3 linked regions of the Drosophila melanogaster genome follow. The protein of the gene in region 3 interacts with the protein of the main gene of each other region in a pairwise test. Each region holds a gene or a part of one and is shown on either strand. Other genes may lie near its edges.

Region 1 (7,699 bases), on a different chromosome or scaffold from region 3:
GTCGAACTCCTCGCTAGTAACCACGTTGCACAGTGTGTCCAGCGCATAGCTGATGATCTCTGCATCCTGTCCGTCGTTCTGGAGCACCTGGACCAGCGGAGGCATGCCCTGTGCGCCCACCTCGATGCGGTACTTGCGGGACAGGGCTTTTAGCGCTCGGCAGGCATCCCGTCGATCCTCCAGGAGCGTTGAGGAGTAGACACGGTCCACCAGCTTCTCCACCGTCTCGGCGGCACTCGGCTGCTGACCCGGCTCCGTGCTGCCCAGCACCGTTTTGATGCCACTCTTCAGGAACTCCATGCGAGTGTGTGTTTACGGTCTATTCTGGGTTTTTTCGCATTCAACAAGACACGTCAATTCATGAAAACAATTGACGGGCGGCTTAGCGATGGCTAAAGTCCGATAGACGCCCACTTATCGATAAGCGGCTTGTCTTTAAATATATTAAATATATTTTTAGAATTACAATTTACCATATTTGACCATGTTTGTGTAATTACCTATATTTACACTTTTTTGATAATCTAAAACTTTTTTTTGAATTACATAAAATATTGCTACTTTCTAGCTGACGTCGGGACTTAAGCTGAGTGGCATCCCTGTCGGCGATAGTCTTACTGCCAAAATTTTATTAAACTAAAAACGACTCGACAGCCCTGGTGCTATCGATGCTATAAGTAAGTTGAAAACAAAACTAATTTAGCAAATTTGTGTTTAAAACTAAACGAGAGAATCCCAAAAAATACAATATAAAGCGTTCCACACACGCGGCGTAAGAAGTTCTCAAAAATATCAACACAGTTATCACGACGCTGGGAGAAATCACTCGTTTTTATTACGTAATGCGGCAAAATGTCAACCCATAACATAACAATCCCCACATCAATTTGTGTAAATCATATGTAAATCTCGCCATCTCCTGTGCTTGTCTTGCAGACCTATGGGCAGTGGGATTGTGGTTCAATTGGCTCGAAAGTACGGCGCAGTGATATTCTTTCCCACTGTTGCAGTCGGATCGATTTACGCAGATTGGTCGCACACCCGCCAGTGGAAACGCCAGCAGCTCCAGTTGGCACACCGAGCCCAGCTGAAGGATCAGCGCTAAGAGGATACACAAATATACACCATGGTCTTGGGACTGGATAAGCGAGCACTGTGGGGCGCGTTGCCCCTGCTGGGATTTGCCATTGGCCACTTCCTGGACAAGAAGGAAACGGAACGTATGACCATGTTCCGGGACAAGAGTGCCCTATACGGCCGTCCCGCCGGCAGCGAGGGTAAGGCGCCATCCTGGTAGGCCTGCCCAACATCGCCATCCCAAAATATTATTTTTTTTCCCCCAATTCACTGTTATTCAATAAACCGGAGAAATGTGAAATACGCCTGTCGTCTAGTTTACCTGCATGGCCAGCGGACGAGATTTGCGGTCGGGAACGTGATTTATTTGTGAAGGATTGCGTACCATTGTTTGTTTTACTCAGGAAAAACATAAAAACCTCAACACACGTCTAACGATAAGCCGAAAACCAATGAAAAATCCAAGGAGATAACTCGTTTTTCGAAGGATTTTACCTGGGCATCGCTGCACGATATGCGAGTTCTGCTTAGTTCGGATCAGGGGCGTAGGCTGGATATTTTAGAAGAGCATTGGTGTATTCTACCAAAACTCTTATTATTTATTGTAGAACTTCTTGAGCATGTCACATAAATCACTTGAAATGTGGTAACCGAGAGTAGTCTTTTTAAATGAGTTTCGTTAAATGGCATTGAATTATCTAATACATGTGAATCGAGATTTTTAAGAATTAATAGAAAAAAAAAACTTTTATAAGCATGAGCCCCCTAAAAACTTTCATTTGCACGACCATGCCTATATGTACTATGTAACTGCTTCCAGTAAAAACCGTTAGACAGAATGGATAATCGCTCACTTCAAATATGAAATATGAAATCCGATAAGGACATTTCCACTTTAACAAACAAGGCAGCAAATTGAAATGCCAATGGAACAAAACTAATTTATTTTTATGGCTCAGGGCTAGGGGTTTGTACTCGGTTTTGGATTCCGGTTTAAGATCGGTTTTGGGCTCGAGTTCCAAAATTGAGCGTGATGAATCGCTGGAATTGTGTTCTTGGGCGTGCTGCCCCTCTCTAGACCATTGTTTCCAATGGTCAGTAGTTTGTACACAGGCGCAGTGGGATCAAATGGAACGGATTTTCCAGATTTTCGCCTTTCAAGGGCTTTCTCTCTCTCACAGCGGGGGAGAGCGTGAGCGAGAGGGTGAGATGCCAGAGATTTGCAAGTGGATACCGTTGAACTGTGGTTGGGAGCGAGAGGGTAATAGCACGATCTTTGTTCCTGGAAGGAAACGAGAGATCCAGACGTGCAACAATAACATAACAGTGCTGGTGTCTCTCGGCGGGAAAATAGCCAAATTGGGCATTAGCATGCAGGTGCGAAAGGGTTTTATGGAGAGGTTATTTATATGAAGGTCAGGTTGAAATGACTGCTATCAATTTTAATCGGTAGTTGTCTTGTATATTGGTTTTTAAATAGTTTTGTATTTTAATCCATATTACAATTTCTTAATTTAATGATGAAATAGCTATTTGTTTATGTATGTAATTATATCATTAGATTGCATATTTGCAAAATGTATTTTGTAAAAATTACAAATCTAGCTTGTTTTTAGAATATTCATTCTTCCGCCCTATTTAGCGGGGTAGCGGCACTACTTAAACCTCTCTCTCGCGCACTTGTTGTTGCTCTCTCTCCCGTTCTTGCAGGTAGCAATGAGAATTCCAGAAATCCTGCATCCCAAAAACCAGTCTCAAATCGTGTTTGGGTTTTGTAGCAAGCGGATCATTTGTAATCGGCGGCGGAATACCCAAAATACCCAAAGAGTAAAAAAAAGACTTAAGGCAAAATGAGCGGAGAGGAATCTGCCGGCATGGACTTTTCGCAAAAGACCCTGCAGGATTACGAGGTTTTGGCCGTGATGGGGAATGGATCCTTCGGCACCTGCTACAAGGTGCGCGACAAAAGCACCGGTGAATTGTTCGCCTGGAAGGGAATGAACTACGATGAACTGGACGAGGCCAAGTGCGACGCTTTGGTTTCGGAAATCAGTGTTCTGCGGCAGCTCCAGCATCCTAACATTGTGCAATACTACCATCATCTGGTGAACCGAGAGGCCAAGTCGGTGTACATTGTTATGGAGTGCTGTGCCGGCGGCGATCTCGCCCAGATTGTCCAGCGAGCGAGATCCCAGAGGCAGCGGTTTGAGGAGCCCTACATCTGGCGGGTGCTCTTCCAACTTTGCCGGGCGCTTCAGGTGTGCCACAACAAAATCCCCAACGGAACCATCTTGCATCGCGATATCAAGCCAGCAAATATTTTCCTGGATGCGGCCGGGAATGCCAAACTGGGAGATTTCGGTCTGGCCAGAATGCTGCGACGAGATCAGAGCTTTGCCGCCTCCTTTGTGGGCACTCCGCACTACATGAGTCCGGAGTTGGTGAAGGGCAGGAAATACGATCGGAAGAGCGATGTCTGGGCCGTTGGTTGTTTGGTATACGAGATGTGTGCCCTAAGACCGCCGTTTCGCGGCAGAGCCTTTGACCAGTTGTCCGAGAAGATCGCCCAGGGTGAGTTCAGTCGGATTCCGGCAATCTATAGTACTGATCTGCAGGAGATCATCGCCTTCATGCTGGCAGTGGATCATGAACAGCGTCCTGGCATCGAGGTTATCATTCGGCATCCTCTGGTGGTGCGTAATATTAGCGAGTTGGATGGCAAGTTCCCAATTCTAGTTGATTCTGGAGAGGATTTCTACACACTGCCTTCGGGTGCCAGGCTTTTCGAGGACGAAGAGGAAGATGGAGTTCATCCAGAGCTATCGAGCACCATGTTTACGGAACAGTACAGCTTCAATGAAGGCTATGGGCAAAGGAGACTCAGCGTTACTGGTGTGTTTACTCCAGATTTGCGAAGTGAACTCTTCTACTCCGCCAAGCGCAAAATCTTTCCTGCCAAGAAACTACAGCTGTCGGATCCCTCTCTTTATGAAAGTATAAGGAGAGAGGAGCGAGCGGAGGAGAGGCAGGTGGAACTGGCGGAAGAGCGGCGCCGTAAAAAGGATCAGGAGCAGCAGAAAAGGGATCAGGAGCTTCTAAAGGAGGCCCCTAGCAGTCCTCGTGCTCTTACCCAAAACATATTCGATGAAGTACTAAAGACCCGTCTCCACGCCATTCGTGCCCAAGAATCCCTGTTGCAGCAGAAGCTCGAAGAGCTGCAGACCCGGGAGCAGGAGTTACAGCTGGCCGAACAGCGCGTGCAAACGCTGGAGCGGCAGATGCAGGAAAAACTTCTTCAGCAGGAGAAACACACTTGTAGTTGCAGACAGCCGATAGCTCCGCCCATTCCTCCTAGGAAGCCAGCGAAATCGCACCATGATGACACCTACTGCACTATCGAACTCAACGAGACGTCGCCCACGGTGGCTAAACTCAATTTAGCCACACTTCCGGCACCAAAATCGCTAAATACTCTGCGTAAGGTTACCTTCAAGTCGCCCCAAAAGTTTGTTACCTATGGTATCGAGAATATGCCCCCACCGGCGGTTAAACCGGCAGTGAATCCTCCGCCCACTGGCGTTCCCATGCAAATGAGCGTATCCAGCAATGATTCCGGTGACAGCCAGGCCTCCTCCACCCGCAGGAAATCTATACTCTCGCTTTTCGGGTTGAGTCGCGGATCCAAGGCGACATCCAAATCCTTGCCATCGGTCAACCAGGTAGCCCAAGCAGCTGCAACTCGCGTGCAGCGACCTCCTTTGGCCGTCAAGCCACCGATCACGCAGGAACAGCCGGCAGAAGTTCCACCAGTGGCCAATCTCTGGACAAAGGAGCAGAAGAAACAAGCCTTCGAGCTGCTGGCGGCCATGAATGCAGCCGAGAGGGAGGCAAGCGGAGGTGGAGTCGTTGGTTCTGGACCCGGAGGAGCACGTCGCCAGCATCTGCGGCAATCGGTGAGGGAACGGAATTCCACGCTGCAGCGGAACCGCATGCGGAGGTCTTTGGTGGTGGCCACTGGCCATCAGAAGCTAACAACGCGCGACCAGATGGTGATCTGATCAAATTGATCAGGAAAGATGTGCAGTCCAGGAGCCATGGCAACCATGGAGACTATGAGCGTTGTGATGTGGAATAAGTTCCGAAATATTTACATTTTTTTTATGCAAAAATTTTTTTGAATGCCATATTTTAAACACGTATTATTAGCATTAAGATTCCAGTTTTTTCAGCTGCCATTCATTGTGCAATTTGCATTAGTCTTAAAATAAATATTGATGAAATGAGATACATTTGTGTTTAAAATTTCAATTTTCGTGTTTTTATTTATTGTTGTTCGCTTGTAACCGTTAAGTTCAATTTACGCATTTTCAGTGCTGGGTATTGTAAAAAGAATATATAAACTTAGCATTGCATCTTTACAGCGTAGTTTTCAAGCAATATACTTAAAACAGCAAAAATTAAAAATTACATTTAAAGAATGCTAACTAATAGAAAATTACCAGTCGCTTTAATCTTATTTAACAGTTGCCAACACTTTTACCGCGCCAGCTGTTGCCTATCGATAGACCGATTACCGGTTTGTTACGCAAGCAACAGGTCTGGCGTGATTTCTGATTGGATTCTTGCCATTTACCTGTGTGATTGCTGTGCTAGTTAATACAAATTAATTAAATTCCAAGATGTCCGCCCGACTGCTGCAGGCCACGCGTCGCTGGAGCGCCCATCGCAACTACAGCTCCAAAATCGCCGAAGTTGTGGTGGTTTCGGCAGCCCGCACACCAATTGGCAGCTTCCAAAGTCAATTGGCCCCACTGACGGCTACCCAATTGGGAGCCCGTGCCATCGAGGCGGCCATCGAAAAGGCCGGAATTGCGAAGACCGATGTCCAGGAGGTGATTATGGGCAATGTGGTATCTGCTGGTCTGGGACAGGCCCCCGCCCGTCAGGCTGCCATCTTCGCCGGACTGCCCACCAATGTATGCTGCACCACGGTGAACAAGGTGTGCTCGTCGGGCATGAAGGCCGTTATGCTGGGCGCCCAATCCCTGATGCTCGGCTATGCTGATGTGGTCGTTGCCGGCGGTATGGAGTCCATGTCGAATGTTCCCTACTATCTGAAGAGGGGAGCCACGCCCTATGGCGGCGTCAATCTCACCGACGGCATTGTTTTCGATGGCCTCTGGGATGTGTACAACAAGTTCCACATGGGCAACTGTGCCGAAAATACGGCCAAAAAACTGGAGATCACACGTCAGCAGCAGGATGACTTTGCCATTGAATCATACAAGAGATCGGCTGCCGCGTGGGCCAACAAGGTGTTCCAGGACGAGATTGCCCCGGTGAAGATTCAGCAGAAGAGGAAGCCGGAGATCGTCATCTCAGAGGATGAGGAGTACAAGCGGGTGAATTTTGACAAGTTTGGACAGTTGGCCACCGTTTTCCAAAGGGAAAATGGCACTGTGACAGCCGGAAATGCATCCACCTTGAATGATGGCGGTGCCGCCGTGGTTTTGATGAGTGCCGAGGCAGCCCAGAAGGCGGGCATTAAGCCGCTGGCCAGGATTGTGGCCTTCCAGGATGCGGAGACCGATCCCATTGACTTCCCCATTGCCCCAGCTCTGGCCATTCCCAAATTACTGAAGCGTGCCGGCGTTCGCAAGGAAGACGTGGCCATGTGGGAGGTCAATGAGGCCTTCTCCCTGGTCGTTTTGGCCAATATCAAGAAACTGGATGTGGATCCAGCCAAGGTTAATGTTCATGGAGGTGCCGTGTCAATTGGCCATCCAATCGGCATGTCCGGAGCCCGTCTGGTGGCCCATCTTTCGCACAGCCTGAAGAAGGGCGAGCTGGGATGCGCCTCCATTTGCAATGGCGGCGGTGGAGCCTCCTCCATTCTCATCGAGAAGCTGTAAAGGTCACCTGGCGGACCTGCTCTCAACCAGAAATGCATTTACTACTGATCCATCGAGATTATTGTGGAAAGCTCTATGTTTTTTTTTAAATTGTTAAGTGTCTTGATTGCGCGTGGCCGCATTTAACGAACTATTGTGATTTGCATAATAAAATTATGAAACAGTCAATAATTATTATATGTATATCAAATCAGTGTTCTTCCATGACGGTAATAGGGTTCAAAGTCTAAACATCTTATATTTGTTCTGTGAAAAAAATGAATTAAGTGCTGAAAATGTTCTTTATTGTTGAATTTATATATATATATATATATGCCTATAAATTCACCATTTAATATATACCTAAAAAAATGATAATTTCGGCATTTAAGGATATTATACCCGTTACTCGTAAAGTAAAAGCATTAGCATTCTCTCTTGTTTTCATAATTTATTTAGTAATAATAAGTAAAATATTTTGTTCAGAGCCCTGCTCGTCTGGAGGCCAGAAGTTCGCATATGAAGACGACCAGCGACAGGAGATATAGTCCTGCGGTCAGGATGTAGACCGCCCACAGATCCGGCTGTCGGATGCGCTTCTCCCGGTACAGGAACCGACTGCGGAAGTACCGCTCGCTAGCCATTTGGCCCGCCCAGTGGTGCACCAGGCCAACGGATCGAATGGACATGACGAGGTGGTCCAAGTGGCTGGCCAGATGCGAGTGCTTCTG
Region 2 (10,320 bases), on a different chromosome or scaffold from region 3:
GATACACTTTTTATCAGTTTAACAAGTGCGCAAACAAGTTATAATACTACTTTTAAAAATTGCCCAGTCTGATAAATAAACAGTAATCACGTTTAGTTTCACAAGTTGTGGATATTACAAAAAAAAAAAATGCATTTTTGTAGTTTTAATAAAAGAATAAATAAATAGGAACTAAAGAAAGGACCACAAACCACAAAATGCTAATTTCGGGCGCTTTTTAAATGTGTGCTTCACGGTCTTGGCCATAGCTGTATTTGGATGGCCATGTGCATGCACATGAGCTTCATTTCGGTGCGCTTTTACATACATACATATGTGGAACAATCTTTGTGTGCACACACATATATTCCGAAAATAAAACATTGCAACTTTCAGTTCGAAATTGGCCACGCAAAGAGGTTCTTTCTTTCTTTCCTACCTACAGCTCCACAATTTGTCTTGTGTGACCGACCATACGATTTTACACAGTATATTTTACATATTCACTTTGCTGCGCAGCTTTCTTTCAATGGGAACGAGACTGAATTGGCTGGGAAGAAATTCGGACCCGCTCGACCCAATTAAAATGTACATCATTTAGTGCGTAAATATACGCACTACGTGTCGCTATTTATTGAGATTACTGCCCTAATTAAAACCCGCCGACAATTGTTAACTTTTAACAGAAATCAGATTACAACTATGGACATTCATCCAATGTACCTGTTTCACATTTTCCAAAAACGGACGGACTCCCCGTAATGCCTACAAATTTTATTGTTTTTTATTTGTTGTCTTATTCCTCAAATTTAAACGCCGCACGTTTCAAACTTATCGATCAACGAAAATTGCCACTTTTACCAGTAATTAAGTACTAAGAACTATCTTGCCAATAAACTCTGATTGTGCCTATCTACTGAATTGAAAACTATAGTTTTAAATATGGGCTTAGAAGGGTCTTAAGATTCCCCTTTTTTTTTTGATACGAGGTCAGTTTTCTAGGAAAGCTGGATCAATTAATGGCAAAATTCTGGATGGATTGTTACTTCGACTTACCATGACATTAGGACGACTGTGACAACGGCTGCCGCTATGCAGTGGAACGTGGATCTTGACGGACGGGGCAGGACTTGGAACATTTTGTATGGGAGTAGCACCAAGATAGCACTTTGGAATCGCTTTTGTGGGTTGTGATTTCGATTTTCAGCTCCCGCGGTTGGCGGACTGATTTCCTTTCCGCTCCGCGATTTTAGGCGACTTCCGGTTCCCTTTCGCTGTCAAGTTTCGCTTGTTGTACGACACAATTACTTTACCGTTATGCCAGGTTCTGGGTCAGCTGTGCGCATGGGCAGAGTAACTGTTTTCGGTTTGCTCTCTTTGCTTTCGTCCTTCCCCTCTTTTATACCATCACTATGATTGCTCTTTGTTGAAAATCCGCGACTACTGCGTAGAAAATAAAATAACAATATTTATATGTAACTGTTGCATGAGCATTATTTCGGATACATGGCAATTTACCAAAATGTTTTTGTCATGTTTTTCTGGCTTTTGAGGCCCTGTCTCACTCACACAAGCGCACTTGTTTTCACAAACGTATACCGATTAAGAACAAAAAAAAACTCCGTAGTTCAGCATGGAAAAGGTGTCATTGGAACTGCGACTTTTCCACCAGTGATTAACCATTTAATTCGAAATACTTATTTCATCAACTTATTCCCTTGTTTTTCATAATTTATTGTCGCCGCCGTTGCTGTTGTTGTTGCTGTTTGCTGCTTGGCTTACCGGCTGTGTGCGAGTGAGACAGCAATGCAGCGTGGGAGAGGACGAAAGCAAGCATGTGGAAGAGAAACAGAGAGCGAAGCGCGTGGAAAAGTTGTAATAATAATAATAAGAACGGAGCCAAACACTAACGCCCAACTGAGCAGCAACAACAGCAACTACAGCCATACAAAACGTAAAAAACACCAAGTTGTTTGGCCTTCGATGTCTTTTTCAATTGCGTCGCAGAATGAAACACAAAAAAAAAAACAATACAGAAACACCACACTCAGCGTGTGTATGCATATGTACACATATATGTGCGAAACTTTGCGCTTTTTGTTTTTGTTTTCCTTACACTTTTACCGTATTTTTATAAAGGAAAGGGGCTAGGAATAAAGTTAGGGGTAAAAATTACTTGTATTCTACTTAAAAAACAAAGCTGATACTGTTGAAAAAAAATTGCACTCCCATCTCACGCACACACACACGACTGCATCTACAATGCAACTTTAAAGAGAGAAATCTGGAGCAATATAAACCGCAAATAGTTCATATTTGAAGTACAAACTCAGTTTTGCGGACGTTCTTTGCAAAAACGGTTTTAGATCGTTTTGTAACTAGATAACACACACACATAACATATGCAAACAGAAGTTACGAACACAACATATCGACAAGCTGTAATAGAACTCGCATACTTTTCGCTATAGCTGGTGACTTTCGAAAATATTATGTTGACTCCCGAATTCCAGGCAAATTCGATCGCGCCAGAGCAACAATCAGCGCAAAAAAACACATCCAGTGAATGTGACCGCGCGCACGGCGAAGGAAAATACCATCCGGCGCAAATCAAATACCAAAATGTACCACACCAGTTTCGATAACCACCTAGTAAACTGTTGAATTCGGCCAGCTGTTTCAAATTAGTTTGTTAAGAACCAATAAAAGTTAAGTTTTCGCAGACAATGTTTCTTTAATTTTGACAAGATTTTGAAGCATACGAAATATACAATATAAGTTCCTGAACACTAATTTAATCCACCGTTTTCTTTACTATAATTCTGGAAGGACTGAAAACTTGTTCCTCTGCTAATCTGTGGAGTCCTCAAATTTTCTCTAAAAACGCTACTTCCAAAAGTCCGGTTATCGATATCTGACGTCAGGGCTGCATGGACTTCGTGTGAGTTTTGAATTGCCGTTTGAAAATAAATGTTTTCCCCAGCATTAAAGCAGCATTTCTCATTGGCTCTTGATGGTAGCTGCGATCCACGGTAGAAACATTGAATACAAAACTCTCAACGATTCGGGATATCATTTGATTGATGTAATGAACTCTTCAGAGGTTTCCTAATTTTTGGCGGGAAGTCGAGGGCTCCCTAGTGCCATCGTCATCTCTAATGGCAACTAAAACATAGCAGACATTTAATGAACTTTCACAAAACACCTAGATTCAGCTGACCTCTGAGAAGGCTTCCTGACATTTCGACGTCCCAACAAAAATTCCCAGTAGCAAAACACCAATGGATGCGACGTGGTGAGTGGGTCTTGGGATTTTATGAATCCCGGTTGCTTACGGGCTTCTAATTACTGATTTTGCTCAATCTAATGCTTCTCCAATTAAGCAGGGCAATGGAGCAGCTGCTGTCTGCAGTTGAGATGGGAGGTAGCCACAGCGAGGCCACCACACCAACGGCCACGACCACCATATCGATCTGGAGCGCCCCCTCCGAGGGCAGTGGCTCTAGTTCCATGGACCCTGTCTCCTTTCGGTTCCACTTGGACGGGCAGCCTATACTGCCACCGCTGGTGATTTAAATTCTTGGTCAGGGAGTGGCATTTACTGAGGCGTAACCATTTTACTTTGTTCCAGATGACGAGCGCCAAGAAGCGCGAGGTGCAGCTGGCCCGCCAGATGGCAGAAGCGCTGGAGAAGCGGTACCGCCTGGCCAGACACTCGGCGGGATCCGACATGGCCAGTAGGAGAAGTGTGTCACAGCTGCAGCAGACAGAAACGTTAATCTATGACAGCACACGGGGCCAGGCTCGTCCTCAGACTCTGGTCTTTGGCAAACAGTTGCCCACCATACAGGTGGATCCTCCCACGCCTCAACCATTTGTGAAATCAATAGAAAACACTTCCCCAAGGCGGCATAATCGCATTACCGATCGTATCCTGCAGTTCGAGCAGTCGGGACTGGGTAAGCTGCTGCCCAAAGTTCCAGATAAGTGTATCCTGCGCACAAGTCCTGCGGTAGCCGAAGACCAGCAGGATCAGGATACAAAGGACACAACGGCAAGGGAGCTCGGCAGTCCACTGGCAGAACCAGCTAATTTTCAGCGTTCGAGAAGTTTCACACTAGAGGAGCCCTCCCAGGTTCTCGTGGAGCACATGGAGAGGGAGGCCCTGGCTGTGAAACCCAGCCAGAGTTTGGCCAACTTCGAGAAGCAGACCATCGAGTCTCAGGCCAAGCGGGTGAACCGTAGTGCAAGGAGTATTAGCAGCAAAATTAGCCACAACAGCTACAATAGCAACAGTAGCGCCGCAACCAAGAGCACCATCGCCACTAAAACCACAACCGCCGGCAGCAGCTGTTCTAGGCGGGATCGCGAGGTGGAGCGTATAATAGAACGGGCGCTGGACGAGCATGGCGCTTTGGAAGCCAGCCGCAAGGCAGGAGTGCGCAACTATCTGCGTGGCCATCGGGAGCGAATGAATCAATTGGTCATTCACCAGGAGAAGGAACGTCGTCGCATGCAGGCCGAGTTTGATCATCAGCAGCGTCAGCTCATAGAGGAACTGTGTGCCGAAATTGATGTTTCCTCGGCCACCGAAAATCCTGACAGTCTGATATCGCAAAGCACCAGTACGGGAGACCTGCAGCGTTTTTCCCCCTCGCCTACGTTACCCTCCTTTTCAGAGGACATAGAAGACTTTCCGACGATGGAAGACAAGTGCCAAATTGCGGGGCCTTCTTCCGCTCGCAAGAGGCTGTTTAGTCCAAAACCATCAAAGGACTCGGAACCGCAGCTGCTCAGTGCCCCCAGCACACCGCGATCGTTGCCCCTCCGGAACAGCAGCTTAACCAATAGCAGACGAAGTGTCCAAGTTGTCCGGCGCCGATCGCAATCTGTGGGCGGTAGTCTAGTAAAAACAATCACCGCAGCAGACCGCGAGGTGAAGAAATCGCCAGCGAAGCCTGGAGGTGGAGCAGGACGACCGAAAAGTTCCCCGGGAAAAAATAGCTCCATTATAGCGAAAAGGGGAAGCGCCCCACCAAAAAGCGCCTCACCGACCAAGCGGCTGGGCAATGTAAGTTTTTCAAGCGAATCTGAGCGATATTTTATTTGCTTTAAGTCACAAAGGTTTTCATTTGTGCCAACCTAAGTTAGCAGCTAATTTGGTTGGACTCTTACTTTAAATCTCTGCTATTTGACCTTTCCTTTTATTTAACTAAAGCATTAACGATTTTTTATTTATGGTCCTCTATTTTTATACCCGTTACTCTTAGAGTAAAAGGGTATACTAGATTCGTTGAATAGTATGCTACAGGCAGAATGAATCGTTTCCGACCATATAAAGTATATATATTCTTGATCAGGATCTATAGCCGAGTCGGTCCGGCCATATCCGTCTGTTCGTATGAACGTCAAAATCTCAGGAACTATAAAAGCTTGAATATATGTTGGATATTTTTCACAATTTTATTAGACATGTACATTTCTATTGACATTTTTAATTAATTTTTAAATTTTTTCTCATTTTATTCCCAATTTTGTATCGATATCCCAGAAAAATTATGATGAAATTTCTAGTTTGCATATCCACTAGCTGAGTAACGGGTATCTGATAGCATTCTTTTTTGCTTTATATTGATATTGATATTGATATTCTTAGCATAATCACTTAATATAATAATTAGGTATTTTATCCCTAAAAAAGTGAAAACCTTGGCGATATAATCTGTAATATCTATTTCCTGTACTCCCATTCTATTATTTCCTCTTCCCCAACACAAACAGCGCAAGAAGCCCTAGCAATTCGGGTAGTCAGTTATGCAAGTGCCTTAACAAAGACTGCGAGGAAATCGAGGGACCAAGCCTCTAGCACCAGTAGCTAACCTAATTACTAACCCAACTAGCAAGTGCCTTCGTTCCCTGTTTAATTTCGCCTCTAATCCCTGCCAGAAATATGTCGAGCTGAAACAGGAAGAGCGCCAGTGGGCGGCCACACGTATTAATGCCGGTGTGCGAGGATTTTTGGTCCGCCGGCTTTTTGCAACCGAGCAAGTGCAGCGCATTGTCCAAACCATCAGAGACACCCTGATCTTCGTGTTGAACCTGCACCTGGAAACTTGTGGACATGGCCTGGATGCAGAGGAGCCTGCAAACTTGCGCCTCAAGGCGCGATTGCTTCAACAGGTGGGTTACTTGGTTACTTGTCTAGGTGTAAAAGGTGCCAAATGTGTACATTAGGCTTGGATGATAAAACTAGAAATTAATTATTATCTGAGTGAAGGGTATGCGATAGTCAAAAAACTCGACTGCAGTGTTACCTACTGTGCTTACATTGACTTTGGTTTAACTTTGAGTAAGCAAAACCAAAACTACTGGTATTTTAGAATAATTAATGCGATTTTATATAAATATTTGATTTGAAATTGCCTTGTTTGCAAACTTAATACAAGCTGACTACTTTTTCCTTTATATTCATTGAATTAACTCATAGCTCTGCTCCGCCAGTCGTACCCTGCACCTGATCTTCTTCCAGACCAACATAAAGGACCGCATGGAGATCATCGCTCGGGATCGCCAGAGGATCAAGACCAAACTACTCCTCAAACATCGCCGATTGGATTAGGATTTCATAGGTTAGATTGCTCGAATAAAGGAGGAAACGATAAACGAAGCATTCTTGTTTTAACTAAACACATTTTTATTAAGTTTAAGTTTTCTGGTTCCACTTTCTCTCTATACATTTTTACATTTTTGTACCCTTTTTGTACTCTACGAGTAAATGGGTATACTATATTCGTTGAAAAGTATGTAACAGATAGAAGAAAGCGTTTCCCATTATAAAAAGTATATATATTCTTGATCAGGATCGCTAGACGAGTCGATCTGGCCACGTCCGTCTGTCATTACGTCCGTATGAACGTCAGGATCTCAGAAACTATACAGGCTAGAATGTTCAGATTTATCATGCAGCTTCCAGAGACATAGACGCGATTTGCCAAAAAACTCTGCCACGCCCACTCTAACGCCTAAAAACAGCCAAAAGCTGTCAAGCCCACACTTTTGAAAAATGTTTTGTTTTTTCTACGTTTTTTTGCTTGTTTTGCCCATTTCTATCGATATATAATAAAAAAAAACTCCCAAAACGGCGTTTGGCCCACAGCGCCCACAACTCGAACCATTTACATATATATTTTTTCTCATTTTATTTCCCAACTTTGCGTTGGCATATTCATTAGCTGAGTAACGGGTATCTGATAGCCGACTATAGCAATCTCTCTTGTTATTATTTAATTTGTATTATGGAATATATATATTTGAGCTGAAATGGAAGAAAATATGTATATGTTAATACTTAAATATTAAGTATATTTTTAAATATTAAATATTAAAAAAATATTAAAATAATATAAAATTTAATGGGTAGATTCGGTAGTATCCTTAACTACATACACAAATTAATTCTTACGATTAATAAGCAATTCTAACAAACAAATATACATACTAGTCGCAATATTGAACTGAAATACATTTATATACTTATTTTTGGTTATATCTCTCTATTATCTTTTTAATACCTTTTAATACCTTTTCTTTCTTGATTTACAGAACAGCTGTTTGGCAAAAGCCCGCGTGATTTTTTGCAGCCAAGCTTTCAAGACATTGCGGAGCTTTCTAGACAAATTCGCCCTGAAAGCTGCGGCGGATTGCCAAAACAAACGGAACTTTTAAAGCGAGTAGTCGTGTGTGCGTGTGATGGCCTTAAAAGAAAACAGCAAAGGCAGACAAATAATCAAAAGCGAGAGAAAACTAGTTTAATAACAATTAATTATTAGTGAGCACGTAACCCACAGCAATTGGCCGACCTCCCGCTCATCCTGTTATTCACCCAGCTGCCCGCGTGCCTTGCCCACCCAATTCCATAATTCCGCCGGCGGCGAATTTAGAACGACACACCAAATTGAAAAAATAATAATACAAATAATAAAACCACACCAATAACAGATTTCGTAACTCGTAAATCGAAGGACAGTGAGAGAAAAAATCGTTAACAAAAATATAAGCGCACACTTATATTTTTAACACGCGGCAAAGTTGCGTGCGTGGGGGTGAGAGTGAAAAATGTAAAAACAGAATACGAAAAACGTTTCCCAGTGTTGTTGTTTGCTCCTTGTTTTGTTTGGATAACTCGCACTAACACCAACACAAAGGATTACCATGTCCTACACCGAGTTGGAATCAGGGTACCAGGATATATCCCAGCAGCATCAGCAGCAAAATCCGCATCAAAGTCAGCCGCAGCAGCGGGTCGGTTTCTACTTGGGATTACAGGATGGCAACGTATGCGCTCCACCGTTTTACCACTAAAATCTAGCGTAACCCACTAAAACACATAATTTTTTTTATTTGCATACTATATGTGCTATACATGCACGTATTTATTTTTAAAACAAGTCAAATCGATTTTTATTTAATTTTAAATAGTGTTTTATAAGAATGTGAAATATAAAATTATGAGCATTGAAAAAGTATTTAAACCTGGTGTTATAATCTAGCTGACTTCGACTGTAGATTTTTACATGCGGAGAGCTGACCCTGACTTTTTGCGGCTTTTTGCAGTGGAGCTTTTTCTCTTCCTCCGCCTCCTACTAAATTCTTCTCATTCCTTTGCTTCTTCCCAACAGCTGACTGTTCAATGTCAATGCCAAAAGCTTTTGCTCTCGGCTCTTTTACTCGTTTTCTAATGTGTGTTTGTGTGTGTGGTTTTGGAATAAACATAATTTACATCCCTTGAGCACCCTTCCAGCGAAGAGATAACCAAACAACAGTCCAAAGAGTAATGAGCAACAGCATCGATAAATTCGTGGCAGGGAGAGTGGCGTTTTGGCGGACGTCGCTGGCTGACGCACGTAAGCTTCACTCCAAATGTGGGCGGTGCGTTGCGGTCTACACTCGAAAAAATAATATAAACAAAACTGCCCCCAAACTGTTTAAAAATAACTAGGAATATTACAAAATCTTTGAGAGAGGAAATTTAAAAACAAGCAACTGGGAAATAAAATAACAAATGTCTTAGAATATTATGAATTTGATAAAATAATGAATAATAATAATAAAAATCGAATTTTTGAAATTTGAAAGCTGGAGAGTTGGTCTGCCCACCGATAAAGTTTTTTTTGCCCACGTCCAGTTTTCGAGATCTGAATTTTCAAAAAGTTCGAAAATTGAAAATGAAAATTTTTTTAAGTCGCAATTAGATAGTTGGCGTTGTGAATAGCCACCACAACGATGAAAAAAGTAAACATTTTTTTTTATAATATTTAGTTATAAGAGATGGGCAAACGCTTTATTTTCTGAGTAGACCGAGATTAACCTGAATGTCTTATATTTTCTAACGTATACATTTTTCAAAATTCTAAAGGATGGGCAAACGGGTTATTGCAATTAAAAAAAATTATGAAAAAAGTAAACTTTTTGATTTTCGAAAATTGTCGAACTTTTACTACAAATTCAGATGTCGAAAACTGGACTGGGCAAACATGGACAAACGATTCCAGCTTTCAAGTTTCAAAAATTCGATTTTTTCGACGCCAGCTTCTTTGAGCTCAAATCCTAAAGAGCAGAATTAGATTTACAAACATAAATCGGAATGTAGTGTAATTTTCTCTCAGTGCACTGTTTATTTTTGTGCGTAGATCCCACATTTACTATCTGTTATCCCTTTTCTCCCGCCCATCCGCTGCTCTTCTTACCGCCCGCGAAAATCCAGAGACAGACGTCAGCGAGTTGGAGCCGCGCTCCTCATCGTTTTCCCATCCGGTGATTCGTCGGTTTTGCACTTGTTTTCATTTCTTTAATGTTGCGCTATTTTGCTCGCTAGGTAACTGGTTTTAAACAATCTACATTTTTTGGTTACCGTTACGCTTTGATTGTTTAAGCAATTGGTGGGCGCGCTGTGTTCTAATTACGTTTTCGGTTTCTTGGCTGCATTAATTAATTACCCGGTTATGCCATTTGTTTGCTTAATTTGTTTGCTTTTGGCTTCCGACTACGTCTGGAATCTCGAGTAGCTCCGACGAGGGACCACTTGCATTCTCAGATTCGTAGACCAGGTTCGACTTTCAAGCGGAGTGGTTTTAGAACGGTTAGTTTTCGATGGTTTCGATGGTATCGAACCATTTTGTTTAGATAAACTGTATGTATTATACATACATATGTATATGTAAGTGCTCGTTTGCTTGTATAAAGTAAAGTTTTCGTCAAAGTTGGAGATTTAAAGAGAATCTTTGGGACTGTTCTTGGGCGAAACTTAATTTATCCATTTCATATTTTTGGGTGGCTATATGA
Region 3 (6,792 bases):
AAGAGACAAATATTGATTACATTTTGAAGTTATTTGGTATTATATATGCTCTTGTCGCTTATTGCAACGTTCGTTATATACTTTGACTAAGAAAAACTGGATAATAAACGCACTAAATATTGCGATAAGTTCAACTAGCTGGTTGTTGTGGGTAGCATTTCTGCTTCGTGTTAAAGCTTTTAAGTAATTCAATAAGATATTTTCGTACATTTGTTGTTTGTGGTGTCGTTCCACCCGCTGGTGGTTAATAAGCTTCAAAATACTTATATTTTCAATACAACTTTTCCTTCTTACACTCGCCTCGTTCGTTATCTTCTCAATTTTCAACAAATACAACAGATATTTCTCGAAATAAGAAGGCAAAATATAACATATGTATTTCCGTTTCGACTGAGTTTGCGTTTATTGATAAATTTGTATGTCGGATTAAGTTGATAGTTTTGTATATATAGAATTTCGGGTTAGGTAGAGTAGTAGGTGCTATAGTCAGCGCATTAATTGTCGTTATAGTTGGGATATTCGTGTACATTAACTGCGTTACTCATCGGAAAGGAAACAACTCTGATATCTTTGGAACAAATGCTTCGATTTAGATTTAGATATAGATTTAGGTTTGACATTGAGTTTGTGTTTCTGGTTTCGGACATTACTTGTTAACGTGGCTGGTACACATTGATATATCGATTCAAATATATATATATATTCCTCGCAATTGGAATTAGAATTGGAATTCAAACTTCTTGTAATGATATTGCTTATGACAATCGTAGCTTTTGTGGCTTCTGCACAACTATATATTGTTCCAGGTGGCGTTGATACTGGTACTGGGGTAGTACTCCACACACGTTTGCGTCCTAATCCATCTTGCTAAACTAAAAATAAGCTAAACGTCCGCCGGCGATCGCTGACTCCTCGGCAACGGCGGACCATCCTCACCGCCTCCTTAGAGAACGGTGCAGGACGACTTCTCGCGGAAGGGATTCACCTTCTGGCTGGTGAACCCGGTGAGCAGGTAGTCCTCCTGCTCGTGCTCCGTGATGTACTTCATCATCTTAGCGCATGACTCCGAGATCGTCTGGCGGTCGATGGCAGCCTCGCGACGCAGCTGCTCCACCACGACGCGCTGCTGCTGCAGGGATGATGACATTACGTCCATGATGGCTGTCTCGGATAGGCCTATGGTTGAAAAGGTTCTCAGTGTTACGGATACTGGGAAATGCAATTACGGGATAGTGGATTTGGGGTGGTGTGCTTGGTTGCTAGTGCTTGTGTGGCTTCGCCGAAGGGCTTGGTCTTTGATCTTTGGCTTTGGCTTATCTTATCGTATGATTCTGGGAATACTGGTTTGGATGGATCTTAATGGCTGGCTGGAAATAACAAGTTGGTTATATGTAGTTTAGATATCTCATTCTTTGTACAGGCTTCCCCATACGGGCACAACATCGAACAGGCGACACAAAGCTATAACATATGTGTACATTTTCGCGATTCTAGACAGAGATAGTTGGTAGATTGGTGTAGTTTAGTCAGTGTTTAGTACTAGGCGGGAAGTTAGGATAGCTAGATAGTGAGTCACACTACGCATTAACATATGTGTTATTTTGTGGCACATGTAAAGAACCGAACGCAGGCATTGGTTTCATCGATCGCATTGCTGATTAACTTTCCAGCCGAACTGGAAGCCTTGACGCGAACAAGTGCAAGGTTATTAACTGACCCCAAGTGGGCGTGGTGGTGGGCGGTGGGCGCTACTTGTGCCAGCACATGGAGAACCCGAGTTGTGTGCAAAAAACACTGCTCAACTCGTTGGGAACACCGAAAATTAGTTTTTTATGCAGAAATAGTGAAGGAGAACACACACACAAACACACGAAGGCGTACTGCGCCGTGTGGTTAGCAGAGGGATTATAGTGGAAAAGTGAAGTTTTCGACGGATGCACACACAACACATAACTATATTTGCACACTATTTGTTAATTACCAGCTCCGGCTTATATGTTTTTTTTTTTTTTAAATCTCGAACTCTACGGGCTAAAATCGAGCAAAGTTGACGAATAAAAGTGGATACACACCCAAACTAGTGATGTGCCGCGCGGCGATAGTTCGGGTGCGTGAGCGCACCCGCATACCATCGCTAATATTCGCGCAGAAAAACATACAATACGTATCAGTTTTTAGTTCCATGCGCTCTGCAAAATGATGGCCAAGGACAAGGGTCTGGCTGTGGCCGGAACGGCGGCCCCCTTACCGGCCGCCCTCGACCACGAGTGGTCCGCCGAGGAAGAGCTGCAGCTGTTCCATGCAATGGAAGGCCTGCGCCCGGTGGGCATCAACAAGCACTTCTACATGTCCTGCATTGTCCAGCGTCTGTCCAAGTCGCTGAACCGTGAAATGCCCAGCGAGCTGATCTGGCGCCACCTGGGCACCATGTACAAGCTGAAGGAACTGGACGATCTGGAGTCGCTGCCCTTTCCCAACGAGGAGCGCGAGTTCAGCCTGCCGGAGCAGGATTACGGAACGCTACAGACCAAAAAGACGGTGGAAGTGCATGCCAACGAGGAGGCTGCAGAGGCACAGTCGGCCCCTCCAACAGCAGAGACCAATGGCAAAGGTAGTTCGTTAGTTATCATCAGGATTCATTCACTTGTAATGTTGTTTTACAGCTCCACCTGCAACCAAAACGCCGGTACCGACGAATTCCACCAAGGACGGCGACAAAAAGCCCGTCGCCAAGCCCCAGGAGCAGCTGCCCAAGCGTCCGGCCAAGCGCACACGCGGCTCCATGTCCAACGAGTCCATCAGCCCCTCCACTACGCCGCCGCCGGTGCAGAGCAACAAGCGCCGTCGCATATAGGTGACCCCCGCCCGAAACTGACGATTGTTGATCCGTTTTAGCTCATTAGTTTTACTGTACTCTAATAAAAGGATTTATTCTTCGAAATCGTTGTCCTCCTCGTTGGAGCCGTTCCCGTTCTCCTGCGCCAGAACCTCGGTGGCCTGCATGTTTTCCAGGAGCGATTTGAGAAGGCGTCGGTTGAGATGGTCGGTCTGCGTCAGTTCCCGGACTGCCTGGGGCGGAGCATTCTCGTCTGCCGGTGCAGGGCTGTTCTCAGCTGGAGTCGGAGTCTCTGCCATGGCTTTGATGTGCTCCAAAACAGGCATTTTTCCCCCGAGAAATTTCAGCTTTTGCTATGACACACAGTCCGCTGGGTGACTCGTGCACTTGGAAACTTGGCTAAGTGTAGGGTACACTCGATAAAGTATCGATAAGTTGGCGTTTTACGTCAGCCCTAGTTCCACCCCTAAGTCGATCGACTTCCAATTGGACAGATTCTCCCGCTCGAATTTAATTTAATCGGCAAATATAAACAAATACGCTCCAAATGTTTGTTCCCGAAACGGAGGATATGCTGCCCAGACTAGCGCCCAGGCCGAGTGCAGCAGTGCCCATGGGCCACACCAATGAGATTATAGGGCCCACCGTGCCGGAGGTATCCATATTGTTTGGCCAGCCGCCGCAGGATCCGCAGATGCAGCCGCAGCAGCCAAATCATGCACATCAGGAGTCATCCCCTCGTGCTGCACCCACCTTCGCGTCCTGGAAGAAGCAAATGCTGCCCAGGGTCAACTTTTCGCCCATTTTGGCCACAGAACTGGGTCCTCGCACCGCTCCCAGCAGCAATAGTCCGTGCTCCTCGAAGGAATACCAAGTAATGCCCCGGGATCGCAACTATGCAAGCGATGCGCAGCAGACTACCAATCATATGAACTGCAATGCTGGTGGCTATAATGCCGAGCCCAAGCAACAGGCATATCAATCTAGGCGCTTGTCCAGCTCCTCCAACGCAGATGTCCTCACCATCTGTGCTGGCACACAGACCGATCCCTTCAACCCATCTCCTCCGCGAAAATCACTGCCCCAGGTTGTCTATTCCGACATCGACGTCAGCAACTTGGCCAATAAGAGTGATCTGGCGGCTCTGGTATCCCTTGTGGAGTCCGTGCGCCATGAGCAGCAACAGCTTCGGAATCTCTGCGAGATGATTTTGGAGCAACAGCAGCGAGCGAAACCCGAAGCCATTTCAAAAGCCAGCAGTACCACTGGCACCCAGTGCGATATTCTGACCACCAATCAAGGTGCGTACGTTGAATCTGTATGAAAAGAATCCAATAAAACATCCTTCCTAGCAGGTAGACGCTTGTCTCCCATTATGCAGGATTACATAGCAGAGGAGGAGGAACCATTGCCGCCGCCACAAGCACGAGTGATTCCTCAGTTTCCGTCTCCTCGACCACATCCGCCGATCGCCCAATCTACGGGCTACCGGGCCAATACGCCTCAGGCGAAGCGGATCCCTCAACTGGCCAAGCCCAACACCGAGAAGAGCATGGTGATGAACGAGCTGGCGCTGAAATACTTGCGCCAGCCAGTGGATGAGTTGATGAAGGATATGCGCCTGGGGGCGTCGCCGAAGTCCCCTAATCCAGAGCCACTGCGTCCGATCGACAACATAGGCCACGCGCAGAGTCCAAACGACATATCCAATGCTTCGTACAAGTATCTCAAAAAATACCGTCTGCTGCCCGAGGAGCAACTGGAGCCGGTGTGTCCACAATCTCCCATGGCGGCGACCGCCCCTTCGCCACATATTCAACTGGACTTGGAGAATATCAGGAACCAGCCGAAGCTGTTGTGAAAGCATGTACAATGTTCGTTTTGTTATTTATGCATATGTCTATTTGCGATTTAAGTGGAAATATATTTCAATACACGGAATAACGTTGACAATCTTCTGGTGATCCCAGCCTAAACTAACGTAGAGAACCACTCTTTGTATACAAAACATTTTGTGTTTGACATCGATATCTGAAGACACAATAAGAATATACGTTTAGTGAACTTGGCTGCGATCCGGCGACGGGGCTCTAACGCAGAACCAACTGTAGCTCGGATGCGGATTGCAGTAGGACCTTCAGTCCCTGCATAAAGCCCGCGCACTGCGCAAAGTCCGTTCCGAAGGCGATTTGCGTGTGGATTTCCATAGCATTGGCATAGTCGGATATTTGAATGTACTGAACTATTTGATTCAGATATTGCACCGTGGTGGGAGTGAGCTGGAATTAAAGTAAATGCCATTTGAGAATTGCAATTGAATCGCGATCTAAGGCAGCAGCTCTCACCTTTCCATCTCTCAGGCAGTCGTAGAGATTTTCGAGCCTCTTGACAACATCGACAAACTTTCGTTTTGTGCGCTTAAAATGTAAGAAAATTTATAAACAAAAGTAAGTTATTCCTTTTGTCTATATGGATCATTTATTAATAGACTTACCGGATCATTGGTTGCGCCCAGGCAGCGGTTCTTCAGCTCCTCCAGCACAGTCTGCAAGTAGATGTACTCCTCGGGGAGTGGTGGCTTCTCCTTGGGCGGCGCCGGTTGGCGCTGTTGCTGGATGGGCGCTGGCTGCTCGGTATAGCCAATGGTTTGCTGTTGTCCCTGCCAGTTTGGCTGCTGAATCCCAGGGGCTGGCTGCTGAGGCTGGAGATATGATTGCTGATGCTGCTGCTGCTGCTGGGGATTGTTGTTGAAGGCAGCCGGGTTGTAGTACGTATTGGGCACTCCTCCAAGTGGTGCTGCGTGCTGGAGAAAATAAATACATTTTTGATCTACTTCCTGACCAATAATCCGCTTTTAAATCCCACCTGATATTGAGAGGGGTCCACATAACCGTTCTGGTTCTGATTCGGGTCGACTGGGAACAGGGGATGGAAGATAGCAGCACTTGGCTCAACCACCGGCTTCGGCTTAGGCTGTTAGAGAAAGAAGCAAACAATTAGGATAAAGCCTATGACATTTCGTATACCAAGTACTTACCGCTCGCGAAGATTTCAGTGCAGGAGGATCGTTCCAGCCAGGTGGTGGTGTGGGATTGCGTTGCACATTCTGGATGACTGGTGGCACAGCCGGCGGTGGCATTGTCTCGATGGGATTCACACCGGGCACGAACTGATTCTGCTGAGCTGGCATGAGTGGCGAAGGGTTGTAAGGTTGGGCAGCCGCAATAGGATTCGTGTTGAACGCGTTGCTGTTGTACGTTGGCACGCTAGCTGGCTGGGGTGCGGGCCCAGGCACTCCTCCGCCGCCAAATGGAACCGCTGATGGAACGGGGGCCGGCACTGGATTGTATGGCATTCCGTAGGAACTGGTTGGAGCTGCTACAGATGGGTCCAAAACGTATTTGGAGCGGCCAGAAAGACCCGATCCGCCGGAGGATGATGCGCCGCCTGCTGGCGGCGGACCACCTGAAGAGCTGGCATTGCTGAGTGGGCGCGGTGGTTGGGCCAGGGGCTCTGGTTTCACAGGCTGCGGATTGAATATCTGCGGCGGAGCCTGAGGCTGCTGGGCTCCTGGGTAGCTTGTTTGTAGTGGAGGCACTTGCGCTGGCCAGCTGGGCTGTGCATACTGATTGGGCGGCTGGCCGTAGGGCATGGGAGCCGAAGGCTGTGGCTGCGAGAACGATCCACGACCACGAGTCGGTTGGTAGCCGTGTGGCGCAGCAGCGACTGCTGCCTGTGGCTGGGTGTAGTCCAGGTTGACAGCGTTATTTATCCGGTCTCGTAGGCTCTGCAGAACATCGCTTTCGCTGGCGGCAGCTCCTCCGCCCAAGGTGGTAATGTACTGCAGGGCTGCAGTCAGAGCACCCTGGGACGCAAGAAGACCGCCGTACTCAGTCAGAAAGCCGGCAAAGCGACCAGCCAAGTCCACGGATATGCCTTGCTGCTCCAACGACTTG

Evidence for each region. The genes of interacting proteins can lie anywhere in the genome.
Region 1: the proteins of ana2 (region 3) and Nek2 interact in a two-hybrid assay, tested with the Drosophila melanogaster proteins (one study listed by BioGRID).
Region 2: the proteins of ana2 (region 3) and Cp110 interact in a two-hybrid assay, tested with the Drosophila melanogaster proteins (one study listed by BioGRID).

What each region holds. Positions count from the first base shown.
Region 1 is NC_004354.4:7,886,728-7,894,426, reverse strand, and holds Nek2 (Nek2), read left to right. Parts: upstream 1-2,780; 5' UTR 2,781-2,927; coding exon 2,928-5,135; 3' UTR 5,136-5,361; downstream 5,362-7,699. Other genes in the region: p115, read right to left, coding at 1-300; CG45089 (uncharacterized protein), read left to right, coding at 941-1,105; ND-MNLL (NADH dehydrogenase (ubiquinone) MNLL subunit), read left to right, coding at 1,127-1,297; Acat1 (Acetyl-CoA acetyltransferase 1), read left to right, coding at 5,757-6,989.
Region 2 is NC_004354.4:22,479,477-22,489,796, forward strand, and holds Cp110 (centriolar coiled coil protein 110kDa), read left to right. Parts: upstream 1-2,918; 5' UTR 2,919-3,064; exon of another isoform or gene 3,065-3,188; 5' UTR 3,189-3,260; coding exon 3,261-3,274; intron 3,275-3,362; coding exon of another isoform or gene 3,363-3,365; coding exon 3,366-3,546; intron 3,547-3,610; coding exon 3,611-5,050; intron 5,051-5,760; coding exon of another isoform or gene 5,761-5,775; exon of another isoform or gene 5,776-5,925; coding exon 5,926-6,159; exon of another isoform or gene 6,160-6,270; intron 6,271-6,466; coding exon 6,467-6,598; 3' UTR 6,599-6,608; exon of another isoform or gene 6,609-6,644; intron 6,645-7,581; 3' UTR 7,582-7,982; downstream 7,983-10,320. Other genes in the region: CG12576 (uncharacterized protein), read right to left, coding at 1,036-1,118; l(1)G0196 (lethal (1) G0196), read left to right, coding at 8,191-8,313.
Region 3 is NT_033778.4:8,896,712-8,903,503, reverse strand, and holds ana2 (anastral spindle 2), read left to right. Parts: upstream 1-3,292; 5' UTR 3,293-3,383; coding exon 3,384-4,137; intron 4,138-4,188; coding exon 4,189-4,697; 3' UTR 4,698-4,775; downstream 4,776-6,792. Other genes in the region: Ggamma1 (G protein gamma subunit 1), read right to left, coding at 944-1,156; MrgBP (MRG/MORF4L binding protein), read left to right, coding at 2,197-2,611, 2,664-2,854; CG13751 (uncharacterized protein), read right to left, coding at 2,929-3,162; Sec31 (secretory 31), read right to left, coding at 4,927-5,115, 5,182-5,253, 5,331-5,639, 5,702-5,809, 5,874-6,792.